Tamandua tetradactyla: one gene and its partners. The protein of the gene in region 2 binds, or shares a complex with, the protein of the main gene of each other region. Links are inferred from orthologs where the notes say so. Each region holds a gene or a part of one and is shown on either strand. Other genes may lie near its edges. The genes, in order: PIGP, DPM2, PIGH and DPM3.

Region 1 (7,676 bases), on a different chromosome or scaffold from region 2:
GTTGAGAGTTGCTACAGCATAAAGCACAAAGTAGTGAGTGTTGAGGTACAAAGTGGAAAAGCCGGCGAGTCCCAAATCATGAAAGGTCTTGGACAATGGGCTTTCTTTTCTAGGTAATGGGAGAAATTGAGGGTTTTTTTTCTTCCCTACTTTATAACACAGAAAAGTAAGAGAAAAATAACCACCATGCTCCAACCAAAAAGCAGGGGGACTCCATATGTGCATTCTGAGTGGGTCACACTGGGAGCTGTGTGGAGGATGTATTGGTTGGTGATAAGATTAGAGGTAGTTAAGAAGCCCATTCCACTAGATTCAGTGAGTAACAGAAAAAAGAGTTTGGGGGAGAAGGAAAAGGACAAGCGAAGACCACCACTGAGGTTTTCAGATTGGGTGACTAGTAATTTCAACACCAACAAAATTATTATTGCCCCATATTCTATCATTTCCCTTTATTTCCTTTAAAGTTATCATAATCCATAATCATCTTGTTTTTAGGTCAGTAAATATTTCAAGGTATAGAGAAATCCTGCAACCCTCCTGCACCCACCGTTAGTTTTTTCGTAACTACCTGGTCCCGGCCTTCAACCTTCTCTTTCTACTACTTTCCACCTCACTTTCTCAGGCTTCGCCCTTCCTGGCCTCCTGCTGCTCCTTGAGCACACAGGCATGCTTCTTCCCCATGCTTCTCCACTGGCTGATCTCTTTCTGGGATGCTCTTTTCCCAGACAGCCCCATGATTAACTCCCTCTCTTATTTCGGTGCGCAAACCTAGTCTCTCAATGAGGCACTTCCTATCCTATTCAAAACTGCAACCTCCTCTCATTCCTATTTTGCTTAATTTCCTCTCACAGTATATGTCATCATCTCACACTGAGTACATTTTACTTGTTTAATCTGTTCATCACTACTATGAAAACTGAGGCCAGGAACTTTTGTCCGGTTTGTACTTGCCTGACTTAAAACAATGCTTGTCATACAATAAGCACTCATAGCCATTAGCTGAATTAATTTTTGGTTATGTTGTGGACTTTACTTGATTTAAGTCTTAAGGTCAGTACTTTTACTTATTGGTATGTTCCTAATCCTTCAAATACTTTATAGATCAGGGATTTACAAAAATGAAGACAATGATAAAATAACAGCAACACCTAATATTGATCAAGGACTTATTGTATCCTATCATTGTGTTAAATTACCCTAACTAGTTCTCACAACAGCATTTAGAGGCAGCAGAATGTTTAAGAGGTTTAGGAGTACAGACTCTGAAGACAGTGTACCCGGTTCCAAATCCCAGTTCTATCTTTACTGGGATGCTGGGCAAGTTACTTAAACCTTCCTAGGTGCCCCAGTATTCTCATCTGTAAAATGAGGACAATAGCAAGAGTATCTAATTTACACGATTATGTGAATTAGCACTCACTAATTACAGATGTGGAACCTGAAGGCTCAAAGAGGTTAAGCAAATGGCAATTACACAGATACTTCCTGGGGTTAGGAGAATGCAGACTACTTTAGCTAACAGCTCAGCTGTTCGGCCCATCTCCAAGCTATATTGATGGTGCAGGTAGAATTCTTCACTTCCTCACCTCCCTGGATTTTAGGAAGGTGGATTGGGACACCTGATTTTCTCCTTCTAGTTTCCCTCATTATTTGCAAATCCTTTTGGGGAGAGATTTGGGACCTGCTGTGTGACTCCAATCATTTTCAGTTTCTCAATGAGCATCCATCTCCTTGCCTGTAAAGTGCTTTAGAAGAACTAACTGATTTCCAGGATATAAAGAGTACACCTTTCAAACTGACTTCTCTAGCCTAATTCCATCACTCCCCAGCTCTGGCAGGCAACCTTGGAGCCATACGAAAATACTTCCATTCCTGTCATGCCTTCATTCAAGGCCTTCCCACCTCGTCCTTCACTCTCCCTTATTCTCTCATCAGTCTAAGTGTCAGGGATAATGTCCCCGGGAGAAAGACAACTCTAACTCACAGTCCCTCCACTGGGCTCTCTCTGCACTGATCTCACTAAATGCTAACTGCAGATTTACTCCTGTGTGTTCTGACCACAGGACTGTGACCTTACGAGCAGGGACCAGGTTGTATTCACTTTGCTATCACATCAGATGCTGTAGAATCATTTGCTGAGATTAAAGCTGAACAGACAGAAGCTCCCTTACTTTTCTTTAAATAAAACACTGGTAGAAAGAATCAAAAGTTGACGTGTGCACATTCTAAGAACTGGAACATTTCCTTATTCTGGAACACCAGGGAGGGCTCCTTGCCACCCATCAGGAAAATACTTACTGAAGCCAAACTGGGAGCTTAAAAAAAGAACAAAGCCATAAATCGCTCTTTCTGGCAACGGCGAAGGTGAATTTTCTACCATTTTCCCTGTGGCTTCAGATAATCTGTGAAAAAGAAACACAGTAATTCGTCAGTGATTTATCCCCCTTCGCCACTGGTCTACTATAACCTCATCTCTTGGCTTCGGGCACGGCCTCTGCGGGTTTTTATTTCTGCCTAAACCACTGCAAACTGCGCAACAAGCCCCCCGCCCCCTTCCGCCCACGTGCACGCGCGCAACAAGCATCCACGATGAGCGCGCACCACCTGCCGCGGAGCGGGGAGGGTGGGAGCTGGAAAGGACGAACGCTGCTCGCCTTCCCACGGGAAAGGGCTCAAAGGGCAGGGAAGGGCAGAGACCCGGACCCGCGCACCATATCCAGGACACGGACCCAGCCCTCCCCGGGGGGCTTCTGTTTCTTATTCGAGGGCCCGTTCAAGGGCTGCGGTGGGGAGGCCTCGGCTTTGGGCCCTTCACGCACCCTTCCCGCCAACACGGCCACCTCAGCGCTGGGTCCTCGGCGCAGGCGCCGACCAGGGAACTGCAAGAAAGGAATAGTAGAGCGGACTGCGAAGGTGCAAAGGCACCCCCGCCCAGCGCAGGCGCAGGACGACACTCCTCCGAGCTGGCTGGAGGCAGACGCGGGGGCGGGCGGGATCCCGTAGCTTGCCGCCGCGGGAGAAGACGGTACGGCGTGACTGCGCATGTGCGCTGCCGCCCACGTGACTAGCGCGCCGCCCGCCCCCTCCCGCGTCTGGTTGACGTGGAGAGCCCGCGGCTGCGGCGGCTGCGGCTGCGGCGGCGGCGGCCCGCGTCCGAAGCTCGCGGGCTGTGGGCCCGGGTGAGTGCACTCCTTTCCGGGCGGCGGGGCCCCTGGCGCATCACCCTTTCCCGCTGCAGCTGAGATGCCCGGGGAGAGCGGGCCGTGGGTCGCACGCCTCTGCGTGGGCGTGTGATGAATGTGGGTGTGTGCTCGCCCCTCGCCATCGTCCCAGCTGTGTGTCTGCGTTGGTTGGGGTGTCCGGGCACTGAAGGGGTGTGGACGTCTTTGGCCCAGTGGGTGTGTCGCTTTTGTCCGAGGCCCCCCTTCTTGCAAGCCTGAGCCCCTTTGGGTGTCCGTGAGAAGGTGGCAGGGGTCCCTTTGTGTGTGGCTCCCCCTGTGTTGGTGCGCGCCTCGCCTCCGTCCGTGGGGGGGGGACACTGCTAGTCCAGCGAGGGCCCCCCCCAGCCTGCGCGCGTTCCGTGTGTGTCCCCCCGCTGTACCCGCGCCCGCCCTCCCCACCTCTGTGGGGGTCCCCATTGTGTCTTTACTCCTGCTTGTTGGGTGCGCGCCCCCTGTGCCCGGGGCCGCGCCTCCTTCAGGTGAGATTCCCCCCGCCCGGAGCTTCGCCCGCGAGTGGGTGTCCGAGAGCGCCCCCGGGAGCGCTCCGCGCTCGTGCCCATCTGTCCTGTCGAGCGTGTGACCTCTCGTGCGCGGTTTTTGTTGGTGAACGTTTGGGCGCGCCGCGTTCGCTGTGTGTGTGTGTGTGTCTGTATGTGTGTGTGTGTTATCTACGTCTCTGCCACCTGTTTTCGGGAGAGCTGGCAGTTGAGCCCAAGGCTTGCCCCCTCCCCAAGGAATGGATCTGAATGGGAGGGAAGTATCCCCCGCGCTCTTCCCTGCTCTGGGTCTCCGGGGCATCTTCCCTCTCCCAAAGGCTAAGGCGAAGGGGCAGGGCAGTAGCGGGTCGGGTCAGCTGCTTCTGGTGTTGACGACTGGATGGCCTGAAAGCCAGCCTGTTCCGACAGAATAGGGGGACCGAGGCGTAGGTGAATTTGGACTGGTAGTCCTAGACTCCCGAAGTCCTCCAAACTCCTTCCAAAATACGTTCTAGCGACCCGGGACGTTCTTGATAATATGTAGTGGTTTAAATAATGTGTTATGGTTTTCACGTGGCTTATGCCCAACATCCTGGTGAGGGAAACAAGGTAGAAATACACGTTATACTCCTCTTCCTTTGGGTGCAGTTTCCTCTTAAGTATGACCGTAGAGCACTTTTATTAATTGCAGGAAATTTTCATCTTATCTTAAGGAAGATAGGGTTTATTTATAAGGCTAAACGGAAACTTCAAACCTATCAGGAACCCAGCTACTCTTAAGGGTTGCGTTTTGTTGTCTCTCTCTGCTTAATTTTTCTTTTTAATTTCTGGAATATTCCACACGTAAAGTACAGGGGGGAGATTTAACCATTCTGTGATTAAGATTTGGCAAGATGTTAACATTTACCAAATTTACCGCAGTTATTTTTAAAAGAGATATAATGTTGCAAATCTTGGAGATGTTCACCCTTTCCCCCCCTCCTTTCCTAGGGGTAGCCACTGTGGTGTGTGTATGGCATTCCCTTCCACATTTTGTACTTTGATCAATTACAGTGAGTCAAAAAACAATAGTGTTGGGCAGTGCAACGGTGGCTCAGTGGCAGAGTTCTTACCTGCCATGCCAGAGTCCTGGGTTCGGTTCCTGGTTCCTGCCTGTGAAAAAAAAGAAAAAAAAAAAACAATAGTGTTGTCTGTTTTTAAACTTTACTAATGGTAGTAAATAGTGTCTTGCAACTTGTTTTTTTCACTTAGCATCCCATTTTGAGATTTATATATGAATAAATTGGAACACTGTTACCTTGGATTCATTCATTTTAATTGATGGTATGAATTTCCTTTGTATATACCATAATATATACCTTTCTATATTGATGGATTTTGAAGTTGTTTCCAGTTTTTTACTTAAAACAATTCTGCCATAAACATGTTTGTGCCAGTGTGCTTCTGCACACATTTGAAAGTTTCTTTTGGAAATGCATCTAAAAGTAGATTTGTTGGATAGTAGGATATGTGCCTCTTCAGCCTAACTGACGTCACAGAAGTTCTCCGAGTGGTTGTACCAGTTTTCACTCTCAGTAGTGTTAAATGACAACACCTGTTTCCTCATATCATTATGGAATCCTACTTCTGCATCTTTGCCTTCTCTTTACAGACCAGCATCCTTAAAGCTTTAGCTTTTTGCTAAAGTTGACTGCAGCACATTGTGTTTTGCCGAGCCCTGTACATAAGTTCAGACTCATCTCACAGCTGACTGGCTGAGTCTTTATCTCATTTGGTCTTCATAAGATTAATTCCAATAAATATTTATTATGTACCTAATGTGTGTTGGTTCTTATGGCTGATGTATAGATAATATCCGTGGTATGTGTCCCTACTATCTAGTGACAGATGGGATGATTTAATTAAAATAGTTTTTTTCATAATGATGAATGGTTTCTTTTACTCTTCTTTTCCTCTTTATTTTCATATAGTATTTGGTACACACGAATATATGTAACATATATGTAAGTTATGAAGCTAAGAAGTAAAATGAACAACCATGACTCCACTACTCAGCCCAAGAATCAAATTTGCCAATATTGCATGTCCTCACTTCATAGGTGACTGTGTTCCTGAATTTTGTTCTTTCCTTTTTAAAAATAATCTCATCAGATGTCTATACACCTCTCAACAGTGTATTGTATGGTTTCTATTGTTTTTGAATTTAAAAAGGGGGGGCGGGATCATACTGGATATAGTTTTCTGGAATTTCTTTCATTCAGCATTATGTTTTTAAGGGTCACTGGTGCAATTGTGTACAGATGTAAGTCACTAATTTTCATTGCTGTGTAAAATTCCATGTGTGTTAATATGGCATAGTTTATGCATTCTGTGAATAAACATTTTGTTTGTTTCCAAGTTTTTGTTGTTAGGAAGGTTCCTGTCATATATTCTGTTACAGTTTGAGAAATTTCTATTTTCAGATTGGAGGCTATATTCCCTGCTGGGGTGGGGGATAAAGACGTTCTAAGGAGTACTTGGGCAGAGATGGTGTAATAATCAATTTTTAGATCCTTAAATTCCATATGTATTCTTTCCTAAAATTGGTAATGCCTGAGGCTTGCGATACAGGCCTCCTGCTGGTTGTCCTTTCTCACCTTCCCTTTCATGGTAGCTCTACCACTTTCTAAAAGATTCATCCAATATATCAGTTTATTTTTAAATGTCTCCATGATACTCTGGAAATCCATCTTTTACAATTATTTAAACTTATGCTGCAATTTTTAGATGTCAATGCATGAAAGACTGTAGTTTTTAAAAGCTTTTTTGGGAATATGTTAGCAACAAAAATATTGGAATATCACTTTGATAATCTGTATGCTAGGAGTGGAATTGCTAGCTCATGGGGTATGAGAACGTTCAGCATTACAAAATGATGTCACATTGTTTTCCCAGGTGCTTGTACTAGTTTACTTACTTTGGACACCAGTTTCAGCAATTTATTTAAATTGATTGGCACTATGTAAGTGAAAGATGATACGCTTCCTCTACATGTGATATTGTCAGATGTTTTAGTATTTGCCAATCTAATGGCCATGAATGCTATGTCATTGTGGTTTTAATTTGCATTTCTTTGATTATTAATGAGTTTGGAATCTTTTCATATGTTTATGGACCATCCCTGTTTCCTTTTTTATGAAATACCTGGTCGTATCTTTTACCCAATTTTCTGTTGTGTTGTTTTTTAAAATAAATGCACTGGTAACACTGAATATTTATTGATGATATGCATTGTAAATATCTTCATCCAGGTTGTAGCCTGATTTATACTCTTTATTGTATATTTTGGCAAACAAAAGTTCTTAATTTTATTGTAATCTAATTGACTGGCCTTTTTTATGGTTAGCTCCTTTTGTGTCTTGTTTAAGGAAACCTTCCTTCCTCTGGGATCACATGGCATTCACTTGTGTGTTTTTGGTTGTTTGTTTTAAAGTGTTGCTTTTCATATTAAGCTTATAATCTATCTGGAATTAATTTTTTATGCATGGTGTAAGGTAGTGAGCCACATTCTTTTTTTTTTTTTAATCCTGTGTAGCTACAGTTGTCTCTATTATGTACTGCATTGGCTTTCAGTTGGTGCAGTGATCCACCGTAACACCTTTTTTTTTTTTTTCATATTTAGTTTCTGTAGCATACTTCTGTTTTTGGCTCAGCTTTCTCTATTTGTCAGTTTGTCTAGCAGTATGGTGATATCACCCTGCCTTAGTTATTTTAAAAATATTTTTATTGGCACATCTTCACACGCAGACATTCCATACGTGGTGTACAATCAGTGGCTTACAGTATCATCACATAGTTGTGTATTCATCACCATGATCATTTTTTAGAACATTTGTATCACTCTTGAAAAAGAAAAAAGTTACATCCCATACCCCTTAACCTCTTGTAGACTCCGCCTTAGTTATTAATGCTATAGCTTTCCAAGATATTTTGATATCCA
Region 2 (6,897 bases):
AAATACATGACTAATATTTATTGTTAAACTCTCCAAACAGGCCAGATCAGTGGGCAGGGGGCAGGGAAGAGAAGAAGAGAAGCGGTCAGCCTGGGGGTCCAGTGTGGCTACCCAAATGCACCATCACTCTAACGGCGGTGATCCAGGAGATCAGTCCTTCCCCTAGGCTTTCCAGGCCTAGAAGTCCTAGTAGGGTCTGGGGCTGTGTCAGACTTGGGAAATCTGCCTCCATGGAGAGGTGAGTATAATGGGGAGACACAGCATGTTGCCTTAGAATCTGCTAAGTCCAACATATAAAAGGAGAGAAACTGAGGCAAGAGAGTAGAACCTAGAAGAATAAAGTGACAGAGAGGCTGTAGGTGAGGCGGGAAGTACCAGCATCTTTCTGGTCCTGGGCCAGAAGAGAGTGAGAAGGAGATTTCCAGGTACCCCCACTCCTGGCTTCTGGAAGGGTAAGGAGGGGAGGAGTGGGGCTGCGGTCAACAGTGAGCTGTGAACTGCTCCATCCCATGGGATGTCTTCAGGGCAGCCAGGCTTGAGAGGCTTCAGTGTCTTGACCGGTCCTGCTGGCTCCCATCTTTTGTCCCTGCCATGAAGGGGAGGCAGAGAAGGGGCAGGCAGCCTCCTCCCCCTTGGGCCTTCACTGGGCCTTCTTGGATACCTTCTGATTCTTCAGCATCACGTAGGTGATGAACATTCCTGGATATTAGAGACCAGAGATGCAGGATAAGTCTGGGCTCAGGGATGCTGGCAGGGCAGGACAAAGTCACCCCCACCCCGGGACATGTGCCTACCCCGCCACACTCCAGGCAACTTTGTCATCTTCCTGTCATTCATCAAGCTACGTATTCACTCACGTTAATTAAGCAAACACCAACTGAGTGTCCACCACATGCAGGACACTATATTTGGTGTTTGGGATTCCATGGGAAATAAAATCCATCCTTCTATCCACCTACTCACCCACCTATGTACCCACTCGCCCATCTGCCCACACTCAAAACTTAATCACCTACCTGCCCACTCACCCACCCATCTAGGATCATCCAGTCATCTGACTGTGGAATCATCCAAACCACTTTCTTGAGCACCAATTTAGTGCCAAACCCTGTGTAAGGTGTCGGGGACACAGTAATGGTTAAGACACAATTCTTGGATGGATGAATGGATAGACAGATGGACGGAAGGACAGATAGACAGGTTGAATGATTAGGCAAATGTGGTAAAAGGCTGAAAGTTAATGAAGATGGGTATCTGGATGGGGGGTATGCTAGAGCACTCTGTATGGGTTTTGGATTATTTTTGCAATTGTTCTGTAAATTGAAATTATTTCAAAATAAAAAGCTTATTTAAAAAATAAAAAAGAGTGATGGTGGTGGGGGAGGTGGGGGGCAGGAAAAAGGGAGATCTCCCATGAGAGAACATGAGCTCACGGCATCAGAAAGAGCAGATGGGTTAATGACCTTCAGCCTTGAAGGATGAGTAGGAAAACCCCATGGGAAGAGTTGGGGTAAGGATCCTTAAGCAGATCTACAGCGTATGCCAAAATGCTGAAGCATGTTCAAGGGTGGGAGAGGGTCATGGGGACCCTGCAGATCGTCCTGCCCAGGACTGAGGGAGTGATGACTTACCAACAAACAGGAGCAGCAGGAGGCCTGCGGCCAGTGGGATGGCGACAGCATAGGCTCGGGGTAGGAAATACTTGTGGATGACATGCTGGCTGTCGATGAATGGCTGGTATCGGGGGAAGAGCTCTAGTGAGCATTAATTGCCTTGCCTAGGTTCACTCAGCTTCCCAGACCAAATGTTCCAGCCTCTTCCATCAGAGGCTGACCCCAGTCAGGGCACTATGATGACATTTGCTTTTAAGATTACAGCATTTTGGATTTCTTGGTTTGTTTCCTTCTTTCATTTATTTAATGGTTATTTACTGGGCACTGGCTTGGTGTCTGCTCTGGGTTGGTGCTGGGGACTTGGCAGTGAACAGAAGACAAGGAACCTGCCCTAGGGCTTAGCAGAGGTAAGGGATAAAATAAGGAATTCTCCAGTGATTCCCAATCTGGGGTCCAAGGTCTTCTTGACTAATATTTTTCTTCAAAGGATAACAAGTTCTTCAAGGTTTTGCCTTCCAAACACACTGCACTTCTTAAGCAATAACCAACACATTTCCCATAAGAAAAAAAAGTCCTAAAGGCCCTCACAACATCCATGGGCACTCGCCATACCCAGGGGCAAGGAGAATAGCCAGAACTGGAAATCCCATCAAAGGCAAAGGAACTCAGGAACAGGGCTTTACAGTGTAGCGGTTAAGCATGAGACCTTGGGCCAGACTTTTCCCCTGAGCCTCAGCCTTCTCAACTTTAAAATTGGGACACCACTAGTATCTTCCTCCTGGTACGGTTCTGGAGATTTAATGAGATAAGGCAGGTAAAGCACTTAGCCTGTGACTGACACACAATAGGTGCTTAAACGGTGTTAGCAGTCGGTTTCGGGATCCAAGGATGTGGAAAGGTTCAGGAGAGGACAAGGGAGACGTACCAAGAGAATCACCCAGATGGTGTAGTAGGTGAAGATGACCAGACTAACAGCGACGAGGCCAAGTCCCACCACCTGGTCTGTTCCCGTGGCCTGGAGAAAAGGGAGGGTTCAGTTGAAGAAGTGATTCTCCATGTAGGTGAATTAATGCAGCGCGGATGTCTTATACTCTAAGCTTCCCATTCATTCAAGAGATCTATAGAGTGTTAACTAGGTATTGGTTTCTAGGCTGAGAGGGGGGTACTGTCCTCGGCGTTTGCATCCGGATAATGTGCCCGCGGGAGCGCAATCCCAGTTTCGAGCGCTGAAGACCAAGCCCCAGAACGGACTCCGGACCCCGCCCCAACGCGCCCCATCTCCTCGAAGACCTAGTCATAACCTCACCATTTCCCCGCCGCTCCGCCGCGAGAGTAGAAAGCCACTTCCGGTTCTGGATCCGGGTCCTTCTTGCTCTGAGACGCGGGGCACGCCGGGAGTAGTAGTTCCCAGACCGATCCCGGAACAAGTCGCTCGAGATCAATAGGCCGTCGCATCAATTTTGCATGTCGGGAATTGTAGTTTCTCAAGGAATGTGGGGCAGGTTGTTCCCTGAATCCCTCTAGGGAATAGGATCGAGTTGGAAACCCAGACTGCTTGGTCCTTGTGGCCTTAGTCTTGTGGACCCAACCCAGAAACCAAATCCATCCCTAAATATTTCAGCATCCCAAACCGGAACTAGATGGAGTGGCAGTCCCATTTTTCAGATGGAGAAAGTGAGGCGAAGAGAGGGACAAAGATTTGCCGGTGCTCACAATCCGTGTCAGCGATGAAACTGACACCAGAAACAGAGGATCCTACTTCCTGGTCCTGGTCTTTATTGGGGGGAGGGATACAGAGACTGGAGGAGGAGGGGCTGGCTCGAGCCTCCGGGGATGGGGGAAGATTTCGTTGGGCAGAGAGCACCGGCGGAGGGTTAGGCCCTACTTAGCTGTCCACCCTTTAGGTGTCCCCTCTTCACCGCAGGGGATGTGTCCAGGAGAGCCTGCTGCCACCCCGTCCCTTCACTGTGACAGTGGCCCAGACAAATCTTCACACCGGCCCCATGACAAGACCCTTTTCCTATCTTTGGAGACCTTTTCTGCTGAAAACAAGACGTTGGCCCACATCATCTTTGTTGTCTCCTCCAGTTCTAGGGTCTGGAATGCTACCTCCCCACGGTCACAGGATTGGCTGCTCCTCACCCATCAGGTTTCATGAGTCTGGCTAGGCCATCCAGCTGCTGTGTGACTTAGGATAGTCCGGGGCAGCAAGTGAGGGGCCCAGGCCAAGTCGGGAGACAACCCTGGCTTGGGAACATGCTCAGCACCTCCTGTAGGATTGACTTTGGGCTCAGCTATGGGGCCAAGTTTTCCAATTCCATGTGGGCCTAGCACAGAGGAAGGGACTGAAAACTAGACTCTAGAGTTTAAGGGGGCCATGAATAGGGGTCAGCTCTGCGAAAGGGGCTAAATGCTGGGCTGGGGCAAACTTAGTCTCCTAACCAGGTTCCTTTTGTCCCATTCAAAGCCACTGAGGCTTCTGTCTACTTCTGAGCTCTAAATATGGTCCCAGGGCAATCTGCCTTTCCCATTTTGGCTAGCCTACCTGGATGCTGTGCAAGGGGCAGGGAATAATGAAGGGCCCAGGCCAAGCCTGGAGACAACCCGGGCTTGGGAATATGCTCAGCATCTTCTGTAGGGCAGCCTGTATATCCACTTTCTCATTTGTTCCCAAATTCCATTTTGCAATAGAAAAAACTGAGGTGTAAGATACAGTTAATTGCCCTGAGGCTCACCTGACCACTGGGGAAGGCTGCAGAGCAGTGATTAGAACTTTGGTTCTGAGGTTAAGTCCTCTGAGGTCAGAGACAAGTTCAAATACAGGCCCTGCCACTTAATAGGTATGTACCAAGACTGGCAAGTAACTGCCCTTTTGGGCCTCAGTTTCCTCACCAGGAATCCAGCGTAGAAAAGGTGGTTATAGTTAAGACTGCAGCCAGAACTTGGAAGAAAACACTGGCATGCACCCTCCCTACACTCAGGAAAGTCATCTCATTCACTCTGGCTCCTTTCCCATGTGGTCTTTGTGTGACCCCCAACCCCAATGTGAAGTGACAAGGAAAAAACAACATGCCATACCAAAACAAAAACCACATTTAATTTTTTTTCCCAAACCAAGACACTAGACTGATTTCCCCATACAATGTTATTTTCTACAATAGAAGCTGGAGACAGATACAAACAGCCCGCTGAATCTGGGGGGCAGTGGTGGCAGCATTCTGTTAGAAAGGAGGGGAAGTTTAAAAAAAAAAAAAAAAAGGACAAATGATGCCCCTCCCTCATCTCCCTAAATAGAGGAAAACGTGGACATTCTCCATCCTGGTGGAACATGCCACATGGTCATTTTGTAGGGTGACCAAAGGAAAACCCTAAAAATACTGTAGACCTTTATTTTCTTTAAATCTCCTAATAAAAACATTAAGCTGTCTTTCAAGAAGATTCCAAACTGGCATTGCATAGACTGATTCCTTTCCAAAAATATCTCTAATATATTCTCTCTATCTCTATATATAGAATTTGAAACCCAGAGCTGTGGGTGCCTGGTAGGGATTCACTGAGCTCGAGGGGGCCAGAAGGCCCAAGAAGGGGTTCCCACATGGAGAAGAGGCTGGTGTCCAGGCCTCTGGGTCCAGCCAGTATTCATTTGGTTTTGGCCGAATTCTCAGTTGATCAAATTCTCCTGCCAAGGGCCGTGTGTAAGAGTATGGCAGGCTCTGTCTCCTTCTAGGGTGACTCAAGCTCAGACCTCTACTTTGATGGGGCTGGGGTTCTGGTTTGGGGGAGTATCCCCAACAGTGCTAAAGCCAGCAGTTTTGTGCCTAAAGCCCCAGACCCTTGAACCAAAACCAAAATACACCCTGAATGCCCCTCCTCACTGAGCTGAGGTCATGCTGACACAGAAGGACAATGCTCCCCCATCTTCTGGGAGTCATCCAATTTGGAGACAGTGCTGCCAGTTTCCCTCCAAAGTGCCAGATGTTTGTGGGGCAGGAAGGGATCCTTGGAGCTGACCAGAACCTTCCCTAACCAGAGCAAACACTCCATCCTGCCATGGCAGGCACCTTCTAACATTCACTTTTTTTAAAAAAGTAGGTGATTTAAAAAAAAAAAATTACTAGAAATGCTCTGGTCCTAACACCAGTGAGGTTCCAGGACCAATAACCCCATATCTTACCAGCTGGGGCAGACAGAAAACTGGGCAAGGAAGCCTCCTGACCTGGGGAGGACACCTCCTCACTTGCCAGAGAGCCCCAGCATCTTCACTCTTCTGTCTAGAGCCCCAGCCCTGCTGGGACCAGCCAGCAGGTAGGGTAGAGAACAGAACCACCTCCCCTCACCTGGGAGAGGAGAAAAGATTGAACTGTGGACTCCAAAAAAAAAAGAAAGAGAAGATACATGAAGGTCTAACTGAACACCAGCCTGCTGGGTTTATACAAAATGACTGAAATTTAAAAGGGCAGGTGGAGTTTGTCCAGGGGCTGGCTGGCAATCAGACCCCACCTTTAAGCAAGTAAGGAGGACTAGGGAAGGAAAAGTGCTAAGAGCAGAGGCTTTAGTGAGGGTTGGAGGGCAGGACCAGACTGCTCCCCAGAGGAAGAATACATCCCTTAAAGGACTCCACCTCTTCCTTGCCCAGAAATGGGGGGTGCTTTTAGAGGGCTGAGGTACTTTTCCGGCCAGGAACCCAGCTCCAGGCCGGCCTAGTCACAGCCTACCCACCTCTCCAGCCTGGGTCAGCTGACCCTAAGGAGGAAAAGAGGGCTTTGCTTGCCAAGTCCAGCCTAGCTAGGCCCCCAATCTCCAAGACCATGGGAGGCACTTCCATGACACTCCTGCATGAAAAAGTTAGTTGCTCAGGACCCTGCCCTGGGCAAAGGAAAACCACATCAATGCTCAGACCTTTCTCAGCATAGGTCCTAGGCCTGAGCTGGAGCTAATTGGAGGGTAGAGAGGCAGTGCCACGTTCCAGCCGGGCTTCTAGACCCTGAGACTCTGACTGCACAGCAGGCAGAGCTCAGGAATCCTTGGGAAGGGGAGACAATGGGCCAGTGGGAGCTGTGCTGAGACAAGCATGTGCAAAGTGCAGGCTGCCAGGGCAGCAGGAGAACATTCGTTTGCAAGGGGGTGGGAGTGGGGTCAGGTCTCAATCCAGAGCATGGGTGGAGTCTGAGGTGTTGGCTCCCAGGAGGAGGCCACCAGTGGATCCCCCAGGATAGAGGGGAGGGACAGCTGAAGCACTAAGCAGTCAGAGGGTCAAGGTGGCAGGATTCTGGGGGTAGTCTGC
Region 3 (7,737 bases), on a different chromosome or scaffold from region 2:
TTAACATCTGTTTCTTTTAAGCCAAAGCTCCATTTTTTTGTTCTTAACAAGTCCCTGGGTTGAATACTGCAAAGAAATGTTTTTTAGATTTATGTCTGTTATTGGAGAAAGTACTAATGTTGGCGATGGAGGTTTTAGTCTGCCCTTGCTTCTTGATCTGCTATTTGATTACTTTTTATAGCATCCATTTCTGCTTTCCGATGACTATAGCAATACATTATGGCAACTTCTTTAGGCAGAATCACTGCTTCACATTCAGTAGTCTAATTTAGAGGCTCTTGCTCTAAATCCTATCAAGACTTTATATAAGGCTGATTTTGCACTCATAGCAAAATCAGGTATCCAAATTCTCCGGAATCCTGCCAGCCCTAAGAATCCTCAAAGCTACCTTTTTGTAAGTGGCTCTACCACTTGGGCTAAAACGTCTCTGCAGTCTGGCAGTAAATTTCTCTGTCCCTTGGGTAACTCAAAATCTAAATATTTTACTGACTCTTGCGAAATGTAGGCCTTTTTCTTAGAGACTTTGTACCCTAGCTCTGCCAAGAAATTCAGAATTTCAATGTTGTTCTCATCTGATGCCAATTTGCTGTCAGGATATCGTCTACATACTATAATAGTACTCCTTCTTGTAAGTGTAAATCTCTTAAAACTCTGGCTAATGCTTCTCCAAATATTGTAGGTGTGTTTTTAAATCCTCGTGGAAGAACAGGCCAACGATATTGTTGTTTTATGTTAGCAATGGGGTCTTCCCATTTAAAGGCACACAGTTCTTAAGATCATGGGTCAAAGGGTATACAGCAAAAGGCATCTTTAAAATCTAAGACAGTGAACCAACAGAGATCTCCAGATAATATAGTAAAGTATATGGATTTGGAACTACCAGATGGATATCTTCTACAATTTGATTAATGGCCCAGAGATCTTGTGCAAACTGGTATTCATTTAGGGTGCCTGGCTTTTGTACTGGCAATATTGGAGTGTTATACGGAGATTGACAGGGTCATATTAATTGATATTTCAAGACGGTCTCTCTTAATGGAGTAATTCCTTCTCTGGATTCTAGTTTAAGTTTTTTAAACCATATTGTTTAATATGGTGTATACAGTACTTGGCCTTTTATTTTTTTTTCCCTGGGTGCATGGTCCAGGAATTGAACCCAGGTCTCCTGCATGGAAGGTGGACATTCTAACCACTGAACTACGTGTGCATCCTGTACTTGGCTTTTGAAGTTTTACTTGGATGTCTTACTGTCTTTGCACATCCAGTTTTCCATCAGCCCATGCCTCAGCATTCAAAATTTCTTCTGAGATAGACATGTCTGCTTATCTCCTTCATTGAGCAGCAGGGAAGCTTGCAATGCAAAAGCTTGTCCTGGAGGCATGTCTGTTGACAAGTAAACTGGAGAAAAGGGTATCTAGGAATTTTGCTTGGTCAACAGGTCCCTTCCTAGCAAGGGAACCAGACATTCTGGTACATACAGGAAACTATGCTTTAAATTTTTGGTCCCAATTAGGTAGTCTAGCAGCTGTAAAAATGGTTATTTGCCTCACTCCAGAAAAAGAAAAAAGAAAAAACTTATATATACCCATTGCCCCTGCCTCTCATTGACCACTAGTATGTCAATCTACCCAATTCATTTTACCCCTTATCCCCCTATTATTTATTTATTTTTTATCCATATTTTTTTACTCATCTGTCCATACCCTAGACATCCTAAAAATGATCATGGTGATGAATATACAACTATGTGATGATATTGTGAGCCATTGATTTTACACCATGTATGGACTGTATGGGCGCAATGATGTGTCAATAAAAATATTTAAAAAACAAAACAAAAACAACTTAGTCCCTGTTGTTATAAACTTCAAAAGTGATTTCAACCAACCTAGAGATAGGCAATCCCAGTCCTCCATCAATTTTCTGTAGCTTTCTCCTTATTTCAGAAAACTCTGAGTAATAAAAGTCATATTTAAATTTCTGGCATTCTCTGGACTTTCTAGATCTATATCCATGTACTGCCAAGTAGTATAAATTCCTTCAAGGAAAGCTGAGGAACTTTCCTTTGGCCCCCCTGCCTTACTTTGGTTATCTTTTGTAAGTTTATAGCCTGAGGGACCCCCTTTTTGTAGGCCCTCAACAATGCACTCTTTATAAAGTTTAGCCCAGTCACCAGCATCATTCGAATTCCACTCAGGGTCACTGGTTGATGCTGCTAAACTTACTCCAGCATACATTGGGTTGTCAGGATTTTCTCCCTGTTTCTTATCTCCTTTCTACTTTGTCTTTTCTATTACCATTCTCTGTTCCTCTGTTATCAGGGCATTTAACAAATCCGTTGCAAATATCAAAGCAATTAAGCTTTCCATTTTCTTCAGGCCTTCTATAGAAGGCCAAATTGAGTAAGCTGATGGGTATGGGAAGGGGAGACCATTCCCGTCTCAGGCTCTTTTACCTCTGATAAAGGGGGATACAGAGGAGGAAGTAGGGGAGCTTCCTCCCTTTCTGATCCATTAGTACCCTTAGCTATAGGGTGGAGGTGGGGCAGATGAAGGAGTTAATAAAGGTTCTATTAGATCCACCAGATTTGAATCAGGGAGGACATTTTTCTTTTCTTAGCTATCCTCTATAGGTAAAATTCTACATTTTCCTATCAACATTGATTGCTGGGAGAGAACAAATAAAGGATTGAACATACATCATCTCATCCCATTTCTGCTCTCTTCTGCAAAACAACTCTAATACAGTATGCTTTTCTATAGAGCCATTCTCAGGTCATTTCTTTCCTGATTCTAAATCATATTGAGGCCAGACTGTGTTACAGAAGTAAACTATTTTTGCTTTTGCTTTTTTTCATAGGCTTATAACTAAAATCTTTCCAATATTTCAAAATACTGTCCAAAGGAATGCTATTGGATTTAGAATTTCTCATTTTGAAGACTTTCTGCAATCAGTAACCAATTAGTAATTAGTAAAAAATACAAATGCAGGATAAACCAATAAACAAACACTTAACACTTAACTATATTTAAGTAACACACCAATTAATAACTAGACTAGACACAAGAATTAACAGGCATTAAATGCTTAACACACCAATTAACAATTAAACATTAAACACTTACAATACCTAGGTAACACACCAACTGGCAGTTAAACAGGCCTACTCAATTTCACAAACACCAGTTAACTGTTGGATTATTTATTTTCCAGGAGTTTAATCAACAGACAAACTCAGGTCTGTACTCAGGTACAGAATGGTACCCAAATACCAGAAAGGTGTTGAGGTCAGACCAAGGGGGATCATTCTGGAAGGGAGACTCTGGCCTTCCAGCCTTGGTCTAGGGGACTCAGACCGCTGAACTAAATTTCCAGTCTGTTCTTACTCCTTGATGATCCGCTCACATCAGTTGTCTGGATTGGAACTGGAAGGAGTTTCTCTCTTTAAAGTTTCTCAAGGCTCCAAAAGGGTCTGGAGTACTGGCAGGACGGATAAAAATCGAATGGCTTAGCCTCTGTTCTATAACTTCTTGTTAAAATGCACTTTGAAATTTATTGCTTTTTTTTGTACATACGTTATATTTCACAATATAAAAATGTTTAAAAATTAATTTTGAAATAAAGTTTTATCAGAATGACTTAGAAAAAGAAGATTCAGGGCATAGAAATAAAGCTGGAAAAACAAAGCGATCTTTGAAGAAAATCATTAAGAAAAAAAAGGAGGAAACAAAACCCTGGATGAGGATGAGTCTGTTTTGCATTAGAAAGACTTAAAGCTGGTGAGAACTTTATACCGTTTATCTTCATGCACAAGGGGATCAATTCATTATCCATGATGCTGTCTCAGGGCTGAATTATCATAACGGTTTTACGGGCCACAAAGCCCTGCTGTTGCGTAATATCGGTTAGAGGAGAGAACCCAGAGGATTTTATTACTTAAGAGTTTAGAAATTTTATTATCCACGCCCTCTGCGTCCCCCCCCCCCCCCCCCCCCCCCCCGCCCCGGCTGCCTACCTCAGCCAGGATTTGTGAATGTCTCCATTCTGGGGTTTGGAAGAGAAATCCTAAGCAGTGAAACCCAAACTCCTTAACGAGGGCCTACAAGATCCTCTAGATCTCACCCCTACTTAATTCTTTAAATTTCAACTGTTTTCCCCACCCATCAGCTTCTCCGGCCTTTACAGTCTTCAGTAAGCCAACGTTGTTCCCAGCCTTGGTGAATTCGCTCTTGCGGGTCCAGACCCGAACCTGACTCGCTGTTTTAGCTCCTATGCCCTCTATTTCACAGGGACGTTCCTTGACTGCCCTATTTAAATTCCCGAGCCCACCCGTACGTTCCATCACATTATTGGCAATGGCACTCTCTGAAATTATTTCCATATTGTTTCCTCTCACTAAGAAGGAAGCTACTTGAGGAAGGAATAGCTGTCAATGTTGTTCATCACTGTATCTTCCTCACCTAGAACTCACAGGCACGCAACAGGTGCTCATTAAATATGTGCTGAATGAATCAATGGAATGAATATTTGTGGACTGTCTCCTTGGGGTGCACTCTGGCTTAGAGATAGAACGACTTCTCGGGCAAAAGTAAGTTTGATGTCAGCACTCCCAATCTGCCGCAGAGATGCCGACCCCACACGATTTTGTAGAAGAGATACCGCCACAGCGCATCGCGCGGAACTGCGGCTGCGCGGAACGTGTCTTGGGGCGTGGCTGACGGCGCTCTCCCGAAGTGTGTCGGGAGTCGACTTGCGATGGCCATGGAGGACGAGCGGAGTTTCTCGGATATCTGCGGCGGCCGCCTGGCCCTGCAACTCCGCTACTACTCCCCTTCCTGCCGGGAGTTCTGCCTCAGCTGCCCTCGGCTTTCGCTGCGTTCGCTCACCGCTGTCACCTGCAGCGTGTGGCTGGCGGCCTACGGCCTCTTCACCCTCTGCGAGGTAATGGCCGGTCAGCCCATCCGGGCCCTCGGAGTCGGGTGCTCAGGTTTCGAAGGCCTTTGGTCTGGTGGGCGAGCCGCGGCCTCTCATCGTACCCCAACTACTGTAGTAGGGACGATGGGCGGGAACTCATTGGTTTCTGGGGGCGCCACTGCATTGCTGGACAGCTCTTTTCATTTCGTTTAGTGAAGTTTGCTCGGGTACATTCTGCCTCTTATGGGTTTCTCCTCTGCTCTGTGGCTCTATCCAGCATACATCTAGTCTTGGCACGACAGCCTAAAACTTGAACTTCCATGTACTGTGTGTCGTAATGCTCATAGAAATTTAATTCCAAGTGTTCAGAAAACTTAAGCGGATCGTTCTCATCCATCACTTCCAGTCCTTAGAGTTAACAAAACCTTGTATAGTCTTCCAGAAACTGTTTCTGCTTCTCGGTGTATGTGTGTGTATTCCTATTTTCTCTTAGCCTGTTTTCACATCTCTAAAATGTAATTAATGTCTGTCATGCTGGGGTCAAATACAATAAACTGTTACAGCATTCAAAGAAATGATCCAAATTGCTCTTCTCAGGTTGAGTTCTGGTTTTCCAGGTAGTACCCTGCATTGAATATGTTATTCTGGGAGTCATTTGATCAGAGCTAAGAACAGCAAGACTATTTACTTCTGTAATATAAATGTTGTCCCCATTACTGCGTCCGTTAGCTTTTGTTGCCATTAAAGCACATTTCAGAGCATGATAATTTTAGCATAGATATGTGCAGAATTACAACTGCCCTGAGTTGTATCAAGTTTTATCTAAAAGTTTGTTCATGTCAGCTGAAATGATGCTACAAATGAATGAATTGCCAGGACAGTCCGCAAAAAAAAAAAAAAAAAAAAAGATTTAATTTATGATATAGTTAATTTGCTAGCTTGAGTTCTAGCTATGTGGTGAAAGGGGAACAGATATAATGCCCATTGAATGCCAAGTGCTTTACTGAATGTCAGACTTCAACCTTAGAAGAAAACCAAGGCTCAGAAAGAATAATAACTAAGGTCATAAATCTAGAAAGTGGCAGACCTGGGATTCAAACCCAGGGGTGTCAGACTCAGACTCTTTTTTTTTATTCCAATATATTATGTTGCCCCCTCCATGGGAAAGAGTGATCTTAGACACATTTTTAAAATAGGAGAAAGTTGTTTTTATGCCAGCTCTCTTTTATACTCTTTTCTCTCATTCTGTTGTATCACATTTTTTGCCCCATCAACTGCCTGCCTAGGACTCAGTGGCCTCACTTCTTTTACACTCTACTGCCAACACTTCATAAGGGCTCTGTGTACCGAAATTTCTTATCTTTCCTCCTATTGAAAACTTTTCCTCAGAGTAATAAATCTTGGTAGGCATTAGGAGTGAGAAAAAATCTGATTGCAGGAATTTGTTCAAAACGACTTATAGTAGCTTAACCCCAGCCCAAATGAATATTGAATTGTTGGGATTATAGACAGAAAAATAATAGGATGTAGGAAAAAATGCAGGTAGCAATGAAGTTTTGTGCAGGGATTACTTTATTAGAAAGCCTGGATCAAATCTCCTAACCTTTACTGTTCTTCCATTCCTTCTTCCCTTCCAATTTATTGCAACCTGTAATGTTCTTTCCCCTTCCTTTCCAACTAAGTATATCTGTCATTACCCACCACTACCTCCTCTAAGCCAGTTAAATTGGGCTCCCTTGGAAGTGTTCATGGGATATTTCAGTGCATTTTAATCTCTCTCTTTTACACCTTCTTTTGGCATTTATAGTCAGTATCATGGTATTTTCTAAAATATTTTGTGTGTAGTAGCCTTGCCTCTACTTAATCTATAAGGGCCAGGAGTGGATTTTATTTCTATTGTTCCATAATCTTATTCAGTTCAGAGTATGTACAAGATACTACTAGATACCAGGAGGGTAATTAACTCAAAGTAGGTATTTCTTAGTCATTGGAGAACAGCAACAAATCCTCCGTTCATTAGGTAACAAGCAATTATCTAGCACAGGAGTCAGCAGACTTTTGTTTTAAAGGCCTAGGCAGGGGGCCCCATGTTGTCTTTGCTGCATATTCTTTATTTCTTGTTTTTGTTTACAACTCTTTAGAAAATGTAAAAAAAAAAAAAAAATCCTAGCTTGATGTCAGTCAGATAGAATAGTTTGCACTTATTATTTGTGTGCTGGTTTGAAATTGTTGTGTACCCTGGGAAAGCCATGTTCTTTAATCCTGATTTAGTATTGCTGGTGGGACTTTTTGATTAAGTTGTTTTCATGGATTCATGACCCACCCAACTGTGGGTAGGACATTTTGGTTAACTGGTTTCCATGGAGATGTGTCTCCACCCATTCAAGTTGGGTTGCTTACTGGAGTCCTTTAAGAAGGAACCATTTTGAAAAAAGCTTCAGAGTTGACACAGACCAAGATCTTTGGAGATGGAGTAAGAAAATGCCCCCAGGGAAGCTGTTTGCAACCAGAGGCCAAAGGATCAGCAGATGTCAGCCATGTGTTTTCCAAGATTGGCCTCTTTTGAGTCAATGTATATTTTTCTGGATGCCTTAGTTTAGAAATCTTTATGGCCTTAGAACTATAAATTTGTTACTGAGTAAATTCCCTTTATAAAAGCCAATACATTTCTGGTGTATTGCATTTCAGGTAGCATCAACAAACTAAAAGTGATTTTGGTACCAGAGAGGTGGGATGTTGTGATTTGCAAATACCAAACATGTTGGAATGGCTTTTTAAATGGATAAGGGGAAGATTCTGGAAGAATTATGAGGTGCTTATAGA
Region 4 (5,312 bases), on a different chromosome or scaffold from region 2:
ATTATATTTTTTAATTTTGGAGGTTGGGGCTATTATCTTTAGAATGTGCCTTAAAATAAACTGATACCCACCCCTTCCTATCACCACCAAATCTCCATTCCATGAATCTCAAACTGCCTGCTCTAGGGAAGGGTGGTGACTGGATGGTTACTCTGCTGGGTAGGAGTGTGCTGTCTGATCCAGTTATTGTAGGACTAGTAGGGTTGGCTCAGGAAAGGTATCTGAAAGAACCAAGAAGTTGGAAAGCCTTTAAAAGAACCCACGGCGGATTTTATGAAGAAGAGAGTTTAGGCTTTAAGAAGTACTTTCTGACAGGCTTAAGGACCAAGAAAGTAGAATGACATTATCATCCCAAACCATCTTGAGAAGAGAGGTCTTTGGCTCATTTGATCCAAAAAAAGGAAATCAGCAGGATACAAAGGCAGTGATGGCCTCGGGAAACTGGTTCTCCCCACCCCTCCCCTCCCTACCGCTGGTATATACGAATCCCGAATTCCCATTCTCCATAGTCAAACTAAACGAAGTAGAAAATAAGCTTGCTCTTTAATAGGGCTGCCCGGGCAAGGATGGGGGTAGGTATCAAAAGCGCAGCCCCTTGCGGGCCAGGTCAGCCCGGGCCTCCTGGATCTGGCTCTGCAGCTCGCGGGCAGCGTCCTCGCAGTCGTGAAACGTGGCCACGCGATAGCCCACGGTGCCCAGGGCATAGCAGCCGGCAGACACCAGCAAGTAGGCGGGCAGCGGCCACAGGACCTCTCGGCAGGGCGAGGGCAGCTCCAGGCCCAGGACTCCCATGGTCAGGGCCGCCCAGGTGGAGCCCAGGAGCGCCAGTCCCCACAGCCACTGCGCTAGCTTCGTCATGATCCCTGTGGCAAGAGAAAAGCAAAGCTGGGGTTCCTTCCACCTGTCCTACTTCATCCCCTCCAGATCACCTGTCCTGATCTCCGCCCCTCCGTCGCTCTCACCCTCCCTTCTTAATACAACCCTCAACCTACATTTACCTCTTTGCCCGGCGTCTCCCCTTCCCCACGCCGCTCTGACGTCAACACTCGGAAGTGCCCTACAGCGCATGCTCCGCCTCTACGCGGCCTTCTGGGAATTGTAGTCTTCCTGGTGGTGCCAAGAGGACGCGAGGTCCAGATCTTCCCCCCACAACCAAGCGGCCTTTGGAGACCTTTGCTCTGCGCACCGTGGGATGGGTCAACGGGTTTCGAGGGCTGCTTCCCTCGCTCGGGCCCCACTCCAGACTGCGGTCTTGGCAAATGCCATCGGGCTTGCCTTACAAGGTGGGCATGTAATATTCCCCACAGATCCGTTCTCCTGCACAGGAATCCAACTTATTTATTTATTCACGTACCTAGTCATTCATTCATTCTCTCGAACTTTTCTTAAATGCCATGACAGACTTTGGGGACACAGAGTTGTATCGAGAGACTCAGCTGCTCCCGGAGAGGAGGGGAAAAGAAGAATCAGGGAAGCAGAGGCATTGACTACTAACCATGATGCCTTGAGATATATTAAAACAGAGCCTGCCCTATTTTAAAAGAGAAGCACGGGGGCAACGGTGGCTCAGTGACAGAGTTCTCACCTGTCATGCCAGAGACCTGGGTCCGGTTCCTGGTGCCTGCCCATGTTAAAAAAAAAGAGAGAGAGAGAAGCACGGGGGAGCTACCAGTAGTTTGGAGCTGGAAAGTTGTCACGCTTCCGTATTACTGTCACAGGAATGGGCAGCTAAGGGGGGAAAATAAGGGGTGGAGGGATATGTTAAAAGGTGTTGAGGGAAAGGGTATGCTTCTTTTAAGAAAGTTTTCGGATGAATTCATGATAGGTATATATTTTTTAAAAAGTAAAAGAAAATGTCAGGCAGTGTCAACTTCAGGGTAAACAGTTGTCAAAGAAATGAAAGAGAATTGATAAAGCCTGTCTGATAAAGATCACAGGAACACACCTGTAGTTGGACAGAAGTATCTTTATTACCTTGCTGATGCAAGGGGACGCACACACCAGAGAGGAATTGTGGGGCAACTCATCAGAGGAAGAAACATGCTCAATACGGGATAAGTGAAAGGATCGTGTTTAGGTAAAATTGAAATGAAGCAGTATTTTGATAAGTTCAAACGTAAACGTGACTGTACGTAAAGAGATCAACAAGCCCGGGCTGAAAAGTGGACTCGGGATCCACTTGGAAACTATAAAATTTTTAAAATGTGGAATGTTGCATCCAAAAACCCATTATCTGAAGCTCGGCATCTGGGTTGGAAATCCAGGCTTTCTCTGTCAAAAGAACCCACATGGCTTAGATCTCCAGGCTGGAGTGGGATGTTCCATTCTCCCTGATATGATTTCAAATAGCAAAGTTCGTGACCATGATTTTAGAGAATGGGGTTTCTCAGCCCTGTGTCCTTGTTAATAAACAAAAGCAGTTTTTACAGGTCCAAAGTCTTAGTACAAACATTACATGGCTCAACTACAAAGAATATTTTCACATTCATATGTGATACAATACATATATGATGCATTCTATCGTATGCTAAATTTGCATATATGCTTAGCCTATTTTTTCACTTTCTGTTCTGTTCCACTGATCTAGAGAGGGAGGTGCTATAGTTTTGTGGTAAAGCAGGCAGGCTCTGGAGTCCAATTGTCTGATTTCTTTCTCATTCTCCTCAGTTGTATAATGGGGATAATAATAGCACCTACCTCATGGAGTTGCTATGAAGATTGAATGAGACGAAGCCCTCACCACAGCGCCTGGCACATGGTAATGAACGTCAGCTCTTGCAGTGATCCTTACCTGCCCATTCCTGCTCCAGTAACTCGGTGGACCAAGATTGCTAAGAACATGGGGCTTCGGGTGGATGCAAAAGTTCTGCTACTTACTATTTGCAGATGATAAATATTGGGCAAATTACTTACCTTTTATCCTCCCTGTGTCTCAGTTTCCTCATCCATAAATGGAGATATAAAAGTACCTACCTTAGCATGTTGTGAAAATTCAACATGACAGTGTCATGTAGGGTACGACACACAATAACCATTCGATGAGTATTTCTTCTGCTGATTATTATTATAATTTTATAGTTCCTTGTTTTTGTGTGGTGGGGCAAGCTCCTTCTCATTGTCTTTCTCCAAAAAAAAATTTCTGGGGAGCAGCAGTCAGTGTTCCATGGCCAGGTGTACTCTGAGTGAATAAAATAGAATTTCTGGATCTGAAACTGTGCCCGTATCTGAAAGTCACTGTGGCCAGTGAGGCATTGACCGAGCCATTGGTGGGATATTTGGGCTGATGGGAGTGCGAGTTTGAATGTTTTTTATAGCAGATTTTTAAAAATGTTTTTCATTTTGTCTTAATTTTTACTTTAACAAGACATTCATAGTTTTTTAAAAAGTCAAATAGTTCTAATAGTTCTACAAGGTTTGTATTGAAAAATAACAGTCCTCTGTCCCACTTTTTCCACCCTTAAATACACTCCTCAGAGACAACTACTCAAGTTTCTTGGCTGCTTCTTCTGTTTTACCTCTACCTCTACATTTCTAAATAGCACGCTCATATCCTTATTATTATTTGTTTTTTATTTTCCATTTTAGATATAATCAGTTGACTGTCTGCCACGGAAGATGAGCATTCATTCCCTATATTCCTGACCTTCCTAATATACTCCTCTTCTCCCTCCAATTTAAATACACCGTGATACTCATCTCGAGTCAGTGAAGGAAGATGGAATTGTTTTTAAAAAAATCACTTAGAATTTGAAAAAGGAAATTTACTTAGATTTCCGCTTCATACCTTCTATCAAAATAAATTCCCAGCGCATTAAAAATTTTAATGTGAAAAGTGAGACGCTAAAGGTGCTACAAGAAAAGGCGCTTACATATGTTTCTAATCTTCGGTTCAAGCACTACGTGCTCCAAGCAGCCTCCCCGGGTCTCGGCCCTGCCTTGCAGGAATAGTCACCATGTCCTTCCCCTGTGCTCTCACCGACCTCTTTTTTACCATATTGAGCTTTAGGTTTTTTGATTCCCTGCTTGTCCTGCCAAGGACCGTTATGTCTTTAGGACCAAAAACAGTGGGAAACCCAGCAGACCACCTAAAAATGTAGGAGGGAGGGAGGAGGGAAGAAGGATAGGTCACCATGTGATGGCCTCGAAGGAAAGTGACCCTGCTCTCCTTGTTCCTGGGAAATATAACTACTTCAGTAGCACCCAGCCGTGGCCTGGGACAGCACTGAACAAAAGCCGGCAGGTTCTTATGGTGCAATTCCTCCCTTCTCAACCTCTCCGAAGACCATCACTCTTCTGCTGCATGTCAGGATGCAGTACGTCCTGGTTACACCAGGCTGTGGAAGGCAGTGGGGCTTGTAGGTTGAAAGTTTGGGCTTTGGGGGCAATAAACTGAGCCCCCAATCTTGGGGTTTGTTCATATGAACTTAACCCCGCAAAGGATAAGCTAAGTCTACTTAAAATTAGGTCTAAGAGTCACCCCCAAGAGAACCTCTTTTGTTGCTCAGATGTGGCCTCTCTCTCTCAGCCAACACGACAAGCAAACTCACCGCTTTGACTACGTGGGACATGACTCCCAGGGATCTGGACCTTCCTGGCAACATGGGACAGAAATCCTAGAATGAGCTGAGATTCAGCATCAAGGGATTGAGAAAACCTTCTCCACCAAAAGGGGTAAGAGAGAAATGAGACAAAGTGTCAATGGCTGAGAGATTCCAACCAGAGTTGAGAGGTTATCCTCGAGGTTATTCTTATGCATTAAATAGATATCACCTTTTTAGTTAAGGCATAACTGAGGGACTGGAGGGAACTGCCTGAAAATGTAGAACTGTGTTCCAGTAGCCATGTTTCTTGAAGATGATTGTACAATGATAATAGCTTTCGCAGTGTGACTGTGTGATTGTGAAAAACTTGTTTCTGATGCTCCTTTTATCTACATTATGGGCAGATGAGTAAAACATGGATTAAAAATAAATAAATAATAGGGGAACAAATGTTAAAATAAATTTAGTAGGTTGAAATGCTAGTGATCAATGAAGGGAGGGGTCAGGGGTATGGTATGTATGAATTTTTTTCTGTTTTCTTTTTATTTCTTTTTCTGAATTGATGCAAATGTTCTAAGAAATGATCATGATGATGAATATACAACTATGTGGTAAAAAAAGAATGTTCATATTGTATGTTGATTGGTTTTATTAATAAAAAATTTTTTAATAACAGAGAAAAAAAAGTTTGGACTTTGGGGATTGTGGTAGTTAGATACAGTTGTCAACTTGGCCAGGTGAAGGCACCTAGTTCTGTTGCTGTGGACATGA

What was found.
Region 1: DPM2 (region 2) and PIGP share a complex: the UniProt entries of both Homo sapiens proteins name them as parts of the glycosylphosphatidylinositol-N-acetylglucosaminyltransferase (GPI-GnT) complex. The link is inferred for Tamandua tetradactyla from reciprocal best matches to the Homo sapiens genes DPM2 and PIGP.
Region 3: DPM2 (region 2) and PIGH share a complex: the UniProt entries of both Homo sapiens proteins name them as parts of the glycosylphosphatidylinositol-N-acetylglucosaminyltransferase (GPI-GnT) complex. The link is inferred for Tamandua tetradactyla from reciprocal best matches to the Homo sapiens genes DPM2 and PIGH.
Region 4: DPM2 (region 2) and DPM3 share a complex: the UniProt entries of both Homo sapiens proteins name them as parts of the dolichol-phosphate mannose (DPM) synthase complex. The link is inferred for Tamandua tetradactyla from reciprocal best matches to the Homo sapiens genes DPM2 and DPM3.

What each region holds. Positions count from the first base shown.
Region 1 is NC_135336.1:104,908,957-104,916,632, reverse strand, and holds the start of PIGP (phosphatidylinositol N-acetylglucosaminyltransferase subunit P), read right to left. Parts: upstream 3,027-7,676; 5' UTR 2,820-3,026; intron 2,403-2,819; 5' UTR 2,381-2,402; coding exon 2,299-2,380; intron 1-2,298. UniProt on the Homo sapiens protein: Part of the glycosylphosphatidylinositol-N-acetylglucosaminyltransferase (GPI-GnT) complex that catalyzes the transfer of N-acetylglucosamine from UDP-N-acetylglucosamine to phosphatidylinositol and participates in the first step of GPI biosynthesis.
Region 2 is NC_135328.1:50,786,719-50,793,615, forward strand, and holds DPM2 (dolichol phosphate-mannose biosynthesis regulatory protein), read right to left. Parts: upstream 3,017-6,897; 5' UTR 2,923-3,016; coding exon 2,920-2,922; intron 2,629-2,919; coding exon 2,539-2,628; intron 1,735-2,538; coding exon 1,632-1,734; intron 700-1,631; coding exon 641-699; 3' UTR 4-640; downstream 1-3. UniProt on the Homo sapiens protein: Regulates the biosynthesis of dolichol phosphate-mannose. Regulatory subunit of the dolichol-phosphate mannose (DPM) synthase complex; essential for the ER localization and stable expression of DPM1.
Region 3 is NC_135338.1:25,154,813-25,162,549, reverse strand, and holds the start of PIGH (phosphatidylinositol N-acetylglucosaminyltransferase subunit H), read left to right. Parts: upstream 1-4,718; 5' UTR 4,719-4,755; coding exon 4,756-4,941; intron 4,942-7,737. UniProt on the Homo sapiens protein: Part of the glycosylphosphatidylinositol-N-acetylglucosaminyltransferase (GPI-GnT) complex that catalyzes the transfer of N-acetylglucosamine from UDP-N-acetylglucosamine to phosphatidylinositol and participates in the first step of GPI biosynthesis.
Region 4 is NC_135330.1:8,128,554-8,133,865, forward strand, and holds DPM3 (dolichol-phosphate mannosyltransferase subunit 3), read right to left. Parts: upstream 1,054-5,312; 5' UTR 999-1,053; intron 864-998; 5' UTR 859-863; coding exon 580-858; 3' UTR 525-579; downstream 1-524. UniProt on the Homo sapiens protein: Stabilizer subunit of the dolichol-phosphate mannose (DPM) synthase complex; tethers catalytic subunit DPM1 to the endoplasmic reticulum.